2 linked regions of the Arabidopsis thaliana genome follow. The protein of the gene in region 1 interacts with the protein of each later gene in a pairwise test. Each region holds a gene or a part of one and is shown on either strand. Other genes may lie near its edges.

Region 1 (5,270 bases):
GTTTCAGGTTTTGGTCTAAGGAATGAGTCTGAGGATGATGAAGGGTTTGTTGGAAATGTTGATTTTGAGAGCTTTGAAGATGTGAAAGACAGTATCATCATCAAAGAAGTTGCTGGAAGCAGTGATAATCTTTTTCCTTCAGAGACTACTGTAATGCAAAAGGAGAGTGTTTCAACGAGTAATAATGGTTATCAGGTGCAAAATGTGACGGTTCAAAGTCAGAAGAACGTCAAAAGCTCTATTTTAAGTGGGGGCTCCTCCATTGCTAGTCCTGCATCTGGAAATAGTTCCTTGCTTGTTTCTAAGAAAGTAAGTAAGAAGAAGAAAATGCGGTGTGATCTTCCACCAAAATCTGTGACAACAATAGATGAGATGAATCGGATATTAGCAAGGCACCGTAGAACTTCACGAGCAATGGTATGTGTGCAGCTGTCATTTCTATTTTCTTTTCACCTGTGGAACTTTAGTTATGATGCAATTAAGAGATATACTACTTCCAATGTAGCGACCGCGTTGGTCTTCGAGGAGAGATGAGGAGATATTGACTGCAAGGAAGGAGATAGAGAATGCTCCGGTTGCAAAACTTGAACGGGAGCTCTACCCTCCAATATTCCGTAATGTTTCCCTGTTTAAAAGGTAAAAGTGCAGAACTTAGAGCTAATTCTGAATTAAATTTGCTGGTAATGAAAAAGAGTAATGGTATATACACGAATTGATGAATCCTCAGTAGTATCATTAGTCCTATGTGGATGAAACTTTAGCACTACTCCTACTGTAAAATCCGCATCATATGGTCCTATGTTGAGATAATTTTCTGTTCGGAACTTAGTACTGTGAAGAGAGTAAAAAGAAAAAGAAAGCCTGAGTTCATATTATATGTTTAGTTCACAAATTCGTTCTGTTTGGTAGTGTCTTCTTATAAAAGGTAATCTTGACATATCCGATTCAGTTATGTGCCTCAGGAGTTACGAACTTATGGAACGGATACTCAAAGTTTACGTATATAAGGAAGGGAACCGCCCCATCTTTCATACTCCGATACTCAAGGGATTGTATGCATCAGAGGGATGGTTCATGAAGTTGATGGAAGGAAACAAGCAGTACACTGTAAAGGACCCAAGAAAGGCTCACTTGTACTATATGCCATTTAGTGCACGGATGCTAGAATACACACTTTATGTGCGTAATTCTCACAACCGCACTAACCTACGCCAGTTTCTTAAGGAATATACGGAGCACATCAGTTCCAAGTACCCTTTCTTCAATAGAACCGATGGAGCCGATCATTTTCTTGTTGCTTGTCATGATTGGGTAGGCATCTGTTTCATTTTTTAAAGTTAACTAATCATTTTTTCTATAGGTAACAATTTTCTATGTTGAATTTGGCTTCACTAACAGGCACCATATGAGACTAGGCACCACATGGAGCATTGCATTAAAGCTTTATGCAATGCAGACGTAACCGCAGGCTTTAAGATTGGAAGAGACATCTCACTCCCTGAAACATATGTCAGAGCCGCCAAAAATCCGCTTCGTGATTTGGGTGGAAAACCGCCGTCTCAGAGGCGGACCCTGGCTTTCTATGCTGGAAGCATGCACGGTTACTTACGTCAGATTCTGCTACAGCATTGGAAAGACAAAGACCCGGACATGAAAATCTTCGGGCGAATGCCATTTGGTGTGGCGAGCAAGATGAATTACATCGAGCAGATGAAAAGCAGCAAGTACTGCATTTGTCCTAAAGGGTACGAAGTCAACAGCCCGAGGGTGGTTGAATCGATTTTCTATGAGTGTGTCCCTGTGATCATCTCCGACAACTTTGTGCCACCTTTCTTCGAGGTTCTTGATTGGAGTGCGTTCTCGGTCATTGTTGCGGAGAAAGACATCCCGAGGTTGAAAGATATCTTGTTATCAATACCAGAAGACAAATACGTGAAGATGCAAATGGCGGTGAGAAAGGCGCAAAGGCACTTTCTGTGGCATGCTAAACCTGAGAAATATGATCTGTTTCATATGGTTTTGCATTCTATTTGGTATAACAGAGTGTTCCAAGCAAAGCGTAGATGATGTTACTATGGAGTGCTGATGGTGAAAGTTTAGACCCAATGTGCTTGTTTGTTGTGTGAGTAATGAATAGCTACAAAGTTGACTCTACCTTTGTAAATATTGACTCATAATTTTGTTCTAATTCGACTTGATGTTGGGCCTATTCATAGGTTTTCAGGCCCACCATAACAACCCTACAGGCAACAATGTTACAAGTGTGCCTGAAACGTTGACGTTTAAGTTTAAGAGAACTTCGCTTTAGAGTTTAGACCAGTTCCCCACAAAGCTCGTTGTCGTCATCGCGCGAGCTTGAACCAAAAAAACCATGAACAGTGAGAAGGAAGACGAGCCATTGGAAGAGATCGGCGATTCGAATAATGTTCTCGATCTCACTAGCTATCAGCTCCACAGTCTCGATACGGTCGAGTTACCGCCGAACCTGATTGAGCTGGACCTTACGGCGAACCGTTTGTCGGGATTGGACTCGAGGATCGCTCAGCTCTCCACGCTTAAGAAGCTTTCTCTCCGCCAAAACCTAATTGATGATTCCGCCGTCGAACCGTTGTCTCACTGGGACGCCTTGTCCGATCTCGAGGTGATTCTCGACTCTCTGATTTATCTTTTGAGTGATTTTGTAAATGGTGAAATATCTAGGCATCTGATTTTGTTTTTGGCCGTGGAACGTTATGATTTTGGCTAATTGCCTTTTGCATTTCACTTTTGATTTTCACTAGAATTGAAAATTGGCATTGATAGTCTGAGAGGCATAGTTATTTGTGGGCAGTGGATAAAGAAGAGTGTTTCTTGCTATAATTTATGCAGGAGTTAGTTCTCAGAGATAACAAGCTAGCGAAAGTACCAGATGTCAGCATATTCACGAAGCTTTTGGTTTACGACATATCTTTCAATGAAATCACTTCTTTGGAAGGAATATCCAAGGCCTCTAGCACACTGAAGGAACTCTATGTGTCTAAAAATGAAGTTAACAAGATTATGGAGATTGAACACTTACACAACTTGCAGATTCTTGAACTGGGGTCTAATAGATTGCGGGTTTGTCCCTCCCTCCTCTTTGATATTTTTTTATTCTCTTTACAGTGCTTCAGCAATGAATTTGAAAGCATTGAGGTTTCAGGTGATGGAAAATCTGGAAAACTTCACAAAATTAGAAGAACTATGGCTCGGAAGAAACCGTATCAAAGTTGTTAACCTGTGTGGGCTCAAATGCATAAAAAAGATTAGCTTGCAGAGCAATCGATTGACCTCTATGAAAGGATTTGAGGTGTGCTTCATTTACCTTTCTGCAGATATACTCATTCCTCATGCCAGCATTTTTATTTCTTCTGATGCTTGAAATATTATGTACCCAGGAATGTGTTGCTCTTGAAGAGTTATATTTGAGCCATAATGGTATCTCCAAAATGGAAGGCTTGAGTGCATTGGTCAACCTACGGGTATTGGACGTGTCGAACAACAAGCTTACTTCAGTTGATGACATTCAGAACCTCACAAAGTATTTCACCTTTCCCTTGCTTCAGACCGATTTTTGTCTTTTGGTGATTTATTTTCTCCATCCTGACTTTAACTTAACCTATAGGTTGGAAGATTTGTGGCTTAATGACAACCAGATAGAATCACTGGAAGCAATCACAGAAGCTGTTACAGGATCTAAAGAGAAGCTTACCACTATCTACCTCGAAAATAACCCTTGTGTAAGTTTAATCATAATCTTTAGTCACTTTTCATCAAAGTCTTGTCACTCAGTATCGTAGGATCTCCTATCTTTGGTTTTGCTTTTGCTTTTTGATATGGAATGTCAATTTAATGGTACACAGAGTGATCCCATTGCTGGTCTTGTTCAATGTGCATCGTAATTTAGATTATTTTTTTTCCGTATATATTGATAATGCATAAGAAACCTTGGGTTTTTCTATAAAGTTTCTTATGCATTTAAGTAAACTTGAGTACCACAACTTGGTTGTAGTTTTTTGCATAAGTCAATTCATTTATTTGGGTGAGTCCCAGTGTCTTCTATAAATTATCAATTTCTTTGGCTCAGAAGATGTGAAAAGTAATTATTTTACTGAGAGCCATTAAACGTTATCTAATATAAGTGTATCATTTTCTGTTGTCCATCTCCTCTCAGGCCAAGTCTTCTGATTATGTTGCTGCGGTCAGACAAATCTTCCCGAATGTGGAGCAAATTGATTCTAACTTATTTGCTTAGAGATGGATATATTCCTTGTCGTGCTGTTTGTATGAATGTCTGCTTCCTCATCCCATGGGCATGGGCATCGAATTTAGGAAATCAGGTACAACACGGATTCCTCAAAATATACATGTGTCTGCTGTTTATCATAAAGAAGTGCAAATGAGCAAATTAAATCGCTCTCGTCATGGATATTTATTAAAACGTTTTTGAAATTCTAGTGTTCCCTTGCAAGTAAACCAATTCTTGTTTTTGGTCTGTAATAGTATGTGGACTGTGTCTGTAAAAGGGAATCCCCGAGTCTGAAGTTGTCTTTGTTTCAAGTTTCAACCGAGAACACTAACTTGAATACTTTGATCCATATTTTTGACTTTGCCCCTTGCTTTTTTATCTTTATAGTTTCATGTGATTGTTCAGTATTGAAAGGTTGCTATATTACATATTTTACTACTTTTTGGTAACTTGTTACAAGTTTTGGGCTTCTAATCTTTCTTTCCGACAGAAGTACTTTTTGTTAATGAACTGAAGAAATTTGCTGTATAAAAGAAGGTACAAGAGTGGTATAAAAGAAAAAGAAAAAAGTCATTTCACCAATACAGATCTGCACTTCTGCAATCACATTCTCTAGAGAGTTAGCCGCAAAGTATCACCTTAAATTATCTTACGTACCAAAATATTAATGGAAGTAGTCTATGTTTATACTAAACCGATTTGAACCGAAAATGTTTATAATAATGGTGGTATTTTGAATTGAGGTTTTGGTTGACCTGATATTTCATCGGTTTGGAAAGTCAACTTCTCTTTTATAGTCGCTCACCGGTTTGATTTGATTGATATTTACATCACGCAAGAAAACCGGATATAGCTTAAGATGACTTGTAGCGAATGAACACATGACATGTGTTAATTCCACGAAGGCTGGGTCAGTCGTTTGTTTACTAGTTACCGCAGCTCAAACATGTAATTCCCGTGAGAGATTGTTTTGCCGGAGATAGTAGTTTTCGCGTCTCCAAAA
Region 2 (5,000 bases), 3.2 Mb from region 1:
TTTTCATGCCTAAATAATTAATATCAGTAGCATGACATTGTAAATAAGTTCAAATACATGATTTGTTTATTTAAACAAAAAACGTTTAGTAAGAACAATATTTATTTAAACAAAAAACTTTGTTTAAAAATATTGTTAACAAAATACTTTTTATGCTAATTTTAAGTGATTGATGTGAAGTTTGTTTGGATTAAATTTGATTGATAATGTGATTGACAATTTAAATTAAGAATTTAAAGTAAAATTAATTATTTTGAAAAAAAGATTTAATGCTAATGACATAGGATTGTAAATAAGTCCAACTCCAAGATTTATTTATTAAAATGGCTGCAAAAATGTATATATAGATATGTGACATAAAATTTTATTTGATGAAAGTAATTTTTTCGTAAAAAATACTAGCGAACACAGTTTCTCAGTGGATCATAAATTTCAAGAACAAAATAGTGAAATACATATGATCTTAATTGTACTTCACTTAAATATTTTACGACTTTCAAACATGTGATATACATACAATAATTAAACAATAATTAAATTCTGCATAAGATATTTGAAGCCAACTGTTGAAGTGGATTAAGAGATATGAAATAATAAAGGCTATAGCACATGCATTGTTGTAACTACACAATTACGCAAAAGTTCTATCATCGAAATTTGAATCTTAGTAATATCTTAATTAGCAAAGAGCATAAATTCTTTTGTTCTTTTTTTTTTTATCCAATTTTTTTTTTCTTACATTTAACCTTTTTTTTTTTACATATTTCACACAATTTGAGTGAGAGGGATAAATCTATTTTAATGTTAACATTTATATGATTTTGAGTTCAAATTTGAATTGCTAATTATCTAACCGTTTTTATTAAATTTATTTTCCTGGAAAAATAAAAATCTTGACCAAAAATCTGTAAAAATAATTTAATAATATTTATGTTGGATTACAAAAAAATAAATATGATTACTATGCTTATATTAAAAATACATAGGAAAAAGAGGTAAGGCACATATATTTGAAAAACAAATCTTAGAAAAAATTATATTGTTATATATATATTCAAGTATATATGAAAATCATTTTCACAAAATGTAAGAAAATAACCATATATCAGTAACGAAAAAATAAAGATGGGAGTTCCATTTGTTTATTTTGTGGAAATTAGAATTGTTTACTTTTGAAACTTTATCAACAAATCTAGAAAATGTTTTGTAGCCATCGAAATCTTTACTATTAGAATTTGAAGTACAAAAATGATATATATAAAAAAGATTGAGACGTATGAATTATCAATACACTTAATCTTACCATCATGTGTACCAATTGAACCTTTAATAAACATAGTTACCTATGACAAAAATGGATTGAAATCCTTACTTACTTCCAAACCTACAAAAATAACACACTGTAGTATTAGATTACCATTCTTTTTCTATACTATGAATCTATGATGCAACTTTTTACTTCTCCATTGTAGAATCTTCTTGACCCCAAATGTGTACATCATCCCACTTCTGAAAATTTAAAAATTATACCATATAAAAGATTGGAAAAACTCATTACATGCTGAGAATTGTGAGCACAAAATGAGGTAAAAATTTAAGAATGTTAATTGGTTTGTGTGTGGTGATATCTTAATGTGTATATAACAAAAATATATTTACTATTTATAATGAAACAAAATGTAATGTATTAATTTTGTAGTTTTCTAGAAGTTCATGTTTGGTCTTCAAGGTTTGTGCATCTCACTTGTAAAAAAAAACCATAAACATAAATTAGGAGTAATTATAAAATTAATGGCCCACTTCAATTTATTTCTATTAATTGACCTAATAAATTATGTGTTGACCTTCTTCTAATACTAAACGTTTCCCCACTTGGAAAAAATAAATTTCAATTATACAAAACAGTAATAAGTAAGATTAATGTATACATATATGAGATTTATACTATTAAAATTTAACAAAATAAAATGAAATGCCAAGTGGACCAATAAAAAATATATGATTGGGTGTATTTGCACTTATATAAATCAATGTAGATTTCTGAAATACTTTCAAAAGTTTTGGATTTCTTATTAAATTTCCCCATTTTATAATTTATTCTTTCGGATTTGTTCTTTTCTTATCTCTTCCATTTTGATAACTTTCCTCCTCTGAATTTTTAAGACAAAATAGATTTCTTCTTCTCTTTGTTTGACCCACATTTTCTCTGGAAAAAATTCGTCTACTTTCTCCGATCGTCTCTTCATTGATCGGAAAACCAACAACGACCCATTATTCCTCTCCTGTTTCTGGCGCAAACCCTTGTAGCAAGTTTTGATTTTGGTGAGAAAATATTTTAGGGATCTGAAGAGAAAGAACACGATGATGACGAGTATGGAAGGGATGGTGGAGAAAGGAGTATTGGATGATATTATAAGAAGATTGTTAGAAGGTAAAGGAGGCAAACAGGTTCAGCTTTCCGAGAGCGAGATTCGTCAACTCTGCTTTAACGCTCGTCAAATCTTCCTCTCTCAACCTAATCTCCTTGATCTCCATGCCCCAATTCGCATCTGCGGTAAATTCTCATGATCGAATCATTAATTAGGGTGAAATTTGAAAAACTAGGGTTTCTTATGAATTTGAGCATTTTGGGGGTGAAATTGCAAAGTTAGGGTTTTTTTTATTTATGAATTTGAGCATTTGGGTATTGAAAGTTATGTTGTGGATTCTCTCAGGTGATATTCATGGTCAATATCAAGATCTTTTGAGGTTGTTTGAATACGGAGGTTATCCTCCTTCAGCAAACTATCTATTCCTTGGTGATTACGTTGACAGAGGCAAACAAAGTCTTGAGACCATATGTTTGCTTCTTGCTTACAAGATACGGTACCCATCGAAGATATATCTGTTGAGAGGGAACCATGAGGATGCTAAGATCAACAGGATTTACGGGTTTTATGACGAGTGCAAACGGAGATTCAATGTACGACTCTGGAAGGTGTTTACTGATTGCTTCAACTGTTTACCTGTAGCTGCACTTATTGATGAGAAGATACTGTGTATGCACGGTGGTTTGTCACCAGATTTGGATAATTTGAATCAGATTCGAGAGATTCAAAGGCCTATTGAGATTCCAGACAGTGGTCTTCTTTGTGATTTACTTTGGTCAGATCCTGATCAGAAGATTGAAGGTTGGGCTGATAGTGATCGAGGTATCTCTTGCACTTTTGGAGCTGATAAAGTCGCTGAGTTCTTGGATAAGAATGATCTTGACCTCATTTGCCGAGGCCATCAGGTAAAACAAACAAGACCTCCTCGAAACCTGTGAAATTGTTCTTGATGGTTTGATTAGCGTTTGTCCATAAAGCTAGAGACTTTTTGAATTCTTACCATATCGGACATGTGTAATGGTTTTGTGATGCAGGTAGTAGAAGACGGGTATGAGTTTTTCGCAAAACGGAGATTAGTCACGATATTCTCAGCTCCAAACTATGGTGGGGAGTTTGACAACGCTGGTGCGTTATTAAGCGTTGACGAGTCTCTTGTATGTTCCTTTGAGATTATGAAACCAGCCCCAGCTTCAAGCAGTCATCCTCTCAAGAAGGTTAGTTTCTACCAAAGATATATAGATTTAAGCCCATCTTATAACACAATTCTTCTGTAAGAACAAACTGAAACTTGAAACCTTCTGAAAAACCTTATAGGACTTTCACAACAGAACCTTAGGTTATAATTTGAGTGCTTAGCATGGACTTCAAAGTGTACAATCTTAAGCAGTGGGAGCACTATTGCAATTTGGTTAGGCCACAAAGAGTTAACGCTCCTTATGTTTCCGCACACGATAACACCTATTTTCTCTACATTTCTCTTTATCAGGTACCGAAGATGGGGAAGTCTTGAATATCTAGTCCTCTCTATGTCAATATCACGGTTCCACAGCTCAAGCTAGGCTCAAGATTCTGAGTGTCATTACAACTGTGTCTGTGTCTCCAATTATGGGTTGAATGCAATGAAGAACCCAAAGGGTACTTACTTAGTCATCAAACAACTTCTGTAAAAAAACAAAAAAAGTGAGAAAACAAAAACACACTTTGTTTTCTTTGTATAGATGCAGAAAATGATCTGTCTTCTGCTTCTGGAGATTTTATCTCCTTATTAGTCTCTCTTTTCTTTCTTCTTTTAGCCCTTTTAGTTTAATATAGTACCACTTAGATTTTTTTTTCTCGGTTATTTTTTTCCTTGTTGTACAAACCCTTTTGCATATCGTCAAGATTCCACATTTTCTTCATTTGTCCATTGCCAAAGTTATATTTTACTTGTCCCTAATTTTATCAGTATAAAAAGACAGAACAGTACAACACACTTCTTGTCGCATTTGGCAAAATTTCACATGAGACAAGCCTTTACTATTGATAACAGTTAAATTCATGGCTTTTACAAACTACTGTAAAATATTCATTCCATAAGCTTAATCAGAGCTTGTTCTTCTATTTATAGCTGCACTGTATGAATCCCCGTTCCCGTTCCCTCTCAATCTTCTAGCGGTCCTCTGAATCGCAGCTAGTCGCTGCTTCTGATTACGGTTATTAGATTGCCTGTAGTACCTAAAGCAAGTGTTAGTATGGTGTTGTTACTTGGAGGTTACTTAAAGAGAGAAGAGAGAAAGGTGAGACCTGATCAAGAACATTCCTGCTATAAGAAACGACATTCCCAAAGAAATTTTCTGAATCGTTGTCATTTCGCGAACCCATTGGAGAAGATCTTTAAAACATGACAAAGTCTCAGTTTTTAAAGGCGTCTCCTTTCGAGAGTCTCTTGACCATGATTCCACTACTGATTCTAGACTTGCTTTGCTTCCGTAGCACGGTTTTTCTCTAGAATCATCATTCCTTTGAACAGCAAAACCAGCTGCTTCACAGAATGATGTGCCATTGGATTCCCAATTTGAGGCCTTAATGCAGATTATGTCGTCGTTTACTCCACAAGGGCCAATCACCTAAGCAGATACTGAAACCATTAGC

The links.
Region 2: the proteins of AT5G19680 (region 1) and TOPP8 interact in a two-hybrid assay, tested with the Arabidopsis thaliana proteins (one large-scale study listed by BioGRID).

What each region holds. Positions count from the first base shown.
Region 1 is NC_003076.8:6,647,292-6,652,561, forward strand, and holds AT5G19680 (Leucine-rich repeat (LRR) family protein), read left to right. Parts: upstream 1-2,282; 5' UTR 2,283-2,371; coding exon 2,372-2,641; intron 2,642-2,868; coding exon 2,869-3,099; intron 3,100-3,181; coding exon 3,182-3,328; intron 3,329-3,416; coding exon 3,417-3,559; intron 3,560-3,643; coding exon 3,644-3,758; intron 3,759-4,192; coding exon 4,193-4,273; 3' UTR 4,274-4,755; downstream 4,756-5,270. Other genes in the region: AT5G19670 (Exostosin family protein), read left to right, coding at 1-417, 506-636, 963-1,311, 1,399-2,067; AT5G19675 (uncharacterized protein), read right to left, coding at 1,785-1,904, 1,933-2,025. UniProt on the Arabidopsis thaliana protein: Inhibitor of protein-phosphatase 1 (PP1). Binds to and inhibits PP1 activity.
Region 2 is NC_003076.8:9,862,190-9,867,189, reverse strand, and holds TOPP8 (Calcineurin-like metallo-phosphoesterase superfamily protein), read left to right. Parts: upstream 1-2,066; 5' UTR 2,067-2,361; coding exon 2,362-2,554; intron 2,555-2,714; coding exon 2,715-3,274; intron 3,275-3,403; coding exon 3,404-3,643; 3' UTR 3,644-3,683; coding exon of another isoform or gene 3,684-3,725; 3' UTR 3,726-3,777; exon of another isoform or gene 3,778-3,855; coding exon of another isoform or gene 3,856-3,879; 3' UTR 3,880-4,267; downstream 4,268-5,000. Other genes in the region: AT5G27830 (folate receptor family protein), read right to left, coding at 4,448-4,583, 4,653-4,975. UniProt on the Arabidopsis thaliana protein: Serine/threonine-protein phosphatase that possesses phosphatase activity toward para-nitrophenyl phosphate (pNPP) in vitro.